Zea mays: one gene and its partner. The main gene of each other region encodes a partner of the protein of the gene in region 2 in a complex. Links are inferred from orthologs where the notes say so. Each region holds a gene or a part of one and is shown on either strand. Other genes may lie near its edges. The genes, in order: trafficking protein particle complex II-specific subunit 120 homolog and Trafficking protein particle complex II-specific subunit 130 homolog.

Evidence for each region.
Region 1: Trafficking protein particle complex II-specific subunit 130 homolog (region 2) and trafficking protein particle complex II-specific subunit 120 homolog share a complex: the UniProt entries of both Arabidopsis thaliana proteins name them as parts of the multisubunit TRAPP (transport protein particle) II complex. The link is inferred for Zea mays from reciprocal best matches to the Arabidopsis thaliana genes CLUB and TRS120.

The regions. Positions count from the first base shown.
Region 1 is NC_050097.1:32,869,348-32,872,539, forward strand, and holds the end of trafficking protein particle complex II-specific subunit 120 homolog, read right to left. Parts: coding exon 2,689-3,192; intron 1,147-2,688; coding exon 926-1,146; 3' UTR 662-925; downstream 1-661. UniProt on the Arabidopsis thaliana protein: Specific subunit of the TRAPP II complex, a highly conserved vesicle tethering complex that is required for the proper transport of proteins in post-Golgi trafficking pathways to the growing cell plate in mitotic active cells.
Region 2 is NC_050098.1:131,487,489-131,490,535, reverse strand, and holds part of Trafficking protein particle complex II-specific subunit 130 homolog, read right to left. Parts: coding exon 2,837-3,047; intron 2,760-2,836; coding exon 2,672-2,759; intron 2,537-2,671; coding exon 2,452-2,536; intron 1-2,451. UniProt on the Arabidopsis thaliana protein: Specific subunit of the TRAPP II complex, a highly conserved vesicle tethering complex that is required for the proper transport of proteins in post-Golgi trafficking pathways to the growing cell plate in mitotic active cells.

The DNA of each region.
Region 1 (3,192 bases), on a different chromosome or scaffold from region 2:
GCGGTCACTTCGGCTCTATCGACTGAAGGGCGCGCGTCAGGATAAGGTGTCAGGCCACCTTTGCATTAAATGCTCCTGCGATACGGTCGGTCGGCGTGGCAACTTGGCCAAGGTTGCTTCTTGGCGAAGACTGTGCCTCGGGCGAACCGAAGGTGTGTCCGTTGCTGGAGGGGGTCCTCGGGCGAGACGTAAATCCTCTGGGGTCGGCCGCCCTTGCCCGAGGCTGGGCTCGGGCGAGGCGAGATCGTGTCCTTTGAGTGGACCGAGCCTTGACTTAATCGCACCCATCAGGCCTTTGCAGCTTTGTGCTGATGAGGGTTACCAGCTAAGATTATGAGTCTTGGGGTACCCCTAATTATGGTCCCCGACAAAACTCGATTAGACTATCTCTAGCATCTTATCTATCTTCATAACCATATTTAAATTACACTTTACGAACAGTAGAATCTACAGTGCAGAACAGTGCTTTTAGGTAAACTGCTGGAGACAAAACTTACGCCAAATATAGCGGATTTGGGCTCTCTAGCCAAAACGAACCAGGAAGGTGTGAACTAATCACGCTCTTAGGCTTGGCTGACAATCGTGTATAAAGCAGAGTTTAAAATAGTAGATAAGTATAAGCAAGCTGCTGGTGGTGCGCTCAGTCCAACAATGAACAATGTAAAAAATGTTAAGTAAAATCATATAAGCTAACCAGAAATTAAGATTGTGGAATCATCGACATACAATTTCTGTGCTTGAAACAATACTCACTATGCTTGTACACTGTACATGACATGACTTACAAAGAAGCCAACAAAAAGGACAAAAAACATATCGCATGAGGGGCAGGGCGCCAGGGATCACTCTTGTACAAGATTTTCCACACCTACAATTGTCACAGTAAAATGAGGCCTCTAGACTAGGAGTAACTCAGAAGAACTGCCTATGCTGTACCGACTACCCGGATATGGAATGGGGATCCGCGACACAGTATAGGTTCATCTGGTGACTCCGCCTTTGCACGAGCACGAAGAACGTCTGTGGCATCGATTATAACAGAAGCAGCTTGGAGCGAGTAGTCACCCGGTACAAGGAAATACATGGAGAAAGGATGTACCACCTCTTGCAACGGTGGAACTTCCAGGTGTATATCGCTAAGAACACCTACACAGAAGAACTCGTCAGAGTAGTGAACAGGACATATACGCAGAATAATGCTTCAATGAATAACTTTGCCGGTTAAAGTTTGAAAGATTACGGAATAAAAAAAACATTTGTCCAAAACGATCAGTATAACTCAGGTAAATGACGGTCCTTCAAAGTATAATAAGTAAATGGCTACCCAATTGCCCTTAGCCCCGTTTGGATCCCTGGAATTGAATTCTATTCTAATATTTGTAATTTAGGTATAGATCAATTAATCTAAATATGATTTTATGTACAATATATTATAAACTATTGTTGGTCATACGAGAGAGATATTTATGTACTACATTACTACTATAGATGAGCGAGCCGAAGAACATATCATAAATTGCAGAGTAGAATCATGGACTAGTGATACATAAAATCAATTTCCACTTTCTCAACCTATAAATTTGGGATAGGCTTATATTTAGACTTTGGAAAGTGACAGAATGTCAAATTCCAAAGAATCCAAACCAAATAACCTACCATACTAAGTAAATTTTAATTCCTTCAAAATGGATCCAGAGTCCAAACGGCCCTTAATGTAAAAATCTTTGATCATGCACAAAAAAAAACCTCGGTCGGGTAGAAAAGACCGCTCTCTTCGTATTATATTAAGAAGAGACCGAAATATAGTCCCGGCCGAGAAAATCCCTCGAACCCTAGCCTCCATCACTAACATGCCATCACCGCCCACTCTGCAACGGCCCAACCAGAGGGTGGCGTGCAAGACGTACCCGGGAGCGGGCGGGGCACATCGAAAGGATTTTTTAACCAAGCCAGAAATTCGCCCCCGAGGGGATCGAACCCGGGACCCTGGTAGGGGATGGCAACGGGGAATTCCCCGCCAGGGAATAGCTCCCCATCCCCGTCCCCGCGACGAAAAAATTTCCCCACGGGGATCCCCACAAACGCTTGCGGGGAACATTTCTTTCCCATCCCCGTTCCCCGCAGGGATAAATCCCCAACGGGGATCCCCATCCCCGTTTAAATTATAATTAAGACATACATTCTTTGTTATTAATGTTAAAATTGTCACTTATACATATTGTTATATGTAAAAAATCATTATGCATACATCAAAATGAACACATTTGTACAATTAGTGTTCTCTTGACAAGGTAATTGTTTATTTTTATCGTTAACTAGTACACAAAAACATAGTCACGACTCACGTGCAAGGTTAACGGGTCCCCGCAGGGAACGGGGATGGGGAATGTTTCCCCGTCCCTATCCCCGTTTACCCGTCAGGGGATACATTTTCCCCATTTATATCTCCGCGGGGAAGTTTCTTCCCCATCTCTATCCCCTAATGGAAGAATTCCTCGCGGGAAATCAGGGATCGGGTCCCCATTGCCATCTCTACGGCCTCTGGAGGTGCTACTCGGAAGCCTTAACCATTATGCTAGAGAGCACAAGAAGTTGCCTTCTGTAGCACTGGTCATTGGCTGCATTCATAAAATAAAACAAAAACTGAATCCAGATAGCTATGGAACGGAAACAAAAAAGATAACTCACCAGCCCAGAGGACAGTAGCACTATTTTCATCGAAGCAATTCTCTCCAGCAACATCTTTGCATGAAATGCTAAGGTTCATCCGGATAATTTCCTTTGTGTTGTTGCGAATCTGAACTTCCATATGGGTCATTTCATGAGCAGATATAGGATCTTTGCACCTCAGAACATTGCCAGAATCCTTTGGAGAATCGACATTGACCACAGTTCCATTCGTAACAAGCTTAAAGCTAAACATCAGGGGATCTGGCAACAGTATGTCCATTATAGATGCTTGTAGTGCCGTCTGGATAGCATCTTTAATATTCAGCTCACCTGAGCTATTTCTCCCAGAGTGCCATTTCACTTTTATTTTTGAAATCAAGTTGTTGATAGACGCATTTAGCTCTGCCTTGGCATTCCTTTCTGCTATGGCGGCGGCCCTGGATCCAAGAGGTTCATCACTACTACTTGCCTTTACAAAGAAGGAAGCATCAAGAACAGGCAATTTGAAGTTCTCAAGAGGTA
Region 2 (3,047 bases):
AAAAACCCCTTCCTTAGTGTTGTCATTGTCTGGTCAATCACATGCCCATAGACACCAGAAGCACCCAAATAGGCAAAAATTGTATGGTTCATGGAAACTTATGCCTTCCACCGGAACCATAGAAGGCAGAAACTCAAAAAAAAAATCTTGGGTCTGTATATATAAGAACAATACTATATATATATATATATATATATATATATATATATATATATATATATATATATATATATATATATATATATATATATAGCCCTGGGCTTCCAAATATCCAAGGGAAGCTCTAGTCCAATGTTGGCATCCGGTTCAGCCGCACCAGGTCCCGGACGTCTACTAAAGGAGCTCAGGGCGCTAGGGTTTTATTTTTTAGCGATGTCGGCTGTGATGCCCCCACCCTGATGCACGAGCGACGACACCCCACCCCCCACCCCGCCGTTGCGCGCACGGCGGCGGTAGCTCCCCGAGTCGCGAGCGCGACGGTGGTTCCCTGAGGGAGCGCAGCGGTGACGCCATCCGAGGCGGGAGCGGCGACGGCAACCTCTCCTAGGTGCGAGCGATGGCGCCAGCCTCCCCTAGGCGCAAGCGGCGACGGCGGATCCCACAGGCGCGCGCGATGGCTGCGGCTCCCCGAGGTCACGCCGCAGCGGCGGTCCCCTGAGGCGTTCGCGACGACGACAACATCCGAGGCGAGTGCGGTGGTGGTGGCCCCTCGGACGTGCGAATGATGGCGGATCCAGGAGGCACGTGCAGCGACGACGACCTACTCCAATTATTGTTTATGCATGGGGTTGTTGGTTGGGCACATATTAGAACGTTTTCCATTAATTATGATGTACAATGTAGGTATTTATGCAACTTTCTATAAGGATTTATGCTTTGCGCGATTCCTGTCATCCAATTTTTGCACGAATGCAGTAGAAATGAAAATGCCATCCAAAATTTGCGCGTATGCAATGGAAATTCTCACGACCTACCATAATTTTTGGATCTGCATAAAAGTAGGAACCGAACGCATGTGTCTGGTGGTTGCCATGTTTTTTTATCTGCCATAAAAATGTGATCACGCAAACAAGTCCCCTAATTAACTCTCATAATTAAATCTCCTAATCAACTCCCCTAATCAACTCCCCTAATCAACAACTTTCACGTTGAATCAATATTTACGCTCATAACTGCGGGTTTTTATGATCAAACCTGAAGGTTTTTTACGCTCGAACATGGAGAATTGGAGATGCGTCCATCAGTGAACCGCGTGCCAGAATTTACGCAGTTTACCGCATTGCATAAATATCTTCACCGTGTAGCATAATTAGTATCAGTATATATCATAAACTGGTTCCAATGAGCCTAGTTGTATGGCTGTTGGAACAATCCTATACTTATGGATGAAATAAAGCACTTAAATAAGATTTTTTGTTTCCATGAATGCAATTCATTTCCTTTCATCGCACATTGTTACTATCCTAAATTTGTGTGCATACAACAGGAAACAGATTTTTACATAATGTACCGTATTGCATAAATACATACACACACCGTCTAGCATAATTAGTATAAATTGGTTCTAGCGAGCATAGTTATATGGCTATTGGAGAGATCATATATTCATGGAGGAAATAAAGCATTAAAATAAGATTCTTTTTGTTTCCATACATGAAAATTCATTTCCTTTCATTGCACATTGATGTCATCCTAAATTTGTGCGCATGCAACAGAAACAGATTTTTACGCATTGTACCATATTGCATAAATACTTACACCATGTAGCATAATTAGTATCAATATATACCATAAACTGGTTCTTACGAGCCTAGTTGTAGGGAAAATATCCTATGCAATCAATTATCCTGGTGCAAGCATGCAATCAAGCGATCTGGTACATCCGATCTAGATCTAATGATGACTGTTATTTTATATTTAAGCCCTTCCACCTAAAACATAGTACCTATTTTACTTTTAACCCCTTCCATATGAAACCGTTGGATCTAGATTGGATGCTCTGGATAATTTGATTGCACGCTTGCACCAAAATGAGTGATTGCACAGGATATGTCCTCCTAGTTGTATGGTTGTTGCAGTAATCTTATATTTATGGACGAAATAAAGCATTACAATAAGATTTTTTGTTTTCATGCATGCCAATCCATTTCTTTTCATCGCACATTCCCACCATCCTAAATTTATGCGCATGCAGCAGGAAACAGATACACCTTCCAAATTTTTCGCACATGCAAATGGAAACAAATATCCGCATGCAGGGGATGGACGTGTGCACGGGATCTAGGTGGCCAAGCCGGTCGGGTGGTGCAGGGCACGGCTGGGGCTTCTAGTATATATGTTTGGAAGAGCAGGGCTCCCAATATCCCTGTATATATATGTGTGTGTGTGTGTGTGTTTTAAATCTAGGAATACAACAATGACAATCATGTGCCAGACAAGAAAGAACTTTACCTGTAGAAGTAGAGCTCCATCATTGCACTTGTCCACGACGCGTGTGCTTACATGGAATGGGTTAGTAAAATGAACTGCAATGGTCCTGAAAATCATAATAATAAATTTGTTGAGTATCTATATCTAAAGTTCAATGTATCGAAGTATCTCATCTTTTCTTATACAATGGCAGACATGACACAGCTCTTCTGCATGTTTGAGGGGAAAAACAGAGAGATACCTTTCAAACACTTGGTTACGGAAAACTCCAAACTCAAGCTTGAGAGCAATCATTCTCATCCCATCTACAACGCTCTGTTTCTGAGACACTGAAACAAGGACAAAGAAAGGTCAACTAACTGATTGAAACATAACATAGTGAATTTATCACTTGTTACATACAGACCTAGGGATTCTCCTCTTGCAATTGTGTCATCAATAGCACGAACAGGAAACCAAACAAGAGTAGTCACATCACTAGCCCAATCAGGAAGTTCTATCTTTCCATTTTCAATAGGTACCTTTTCAACCTTTCCAGCTTTGATGGAGCTGTTGGCAGAATTAGCACACTCCATATCACTTACGTAAATTTCTATTTCAATCATCTGAGACTCCTC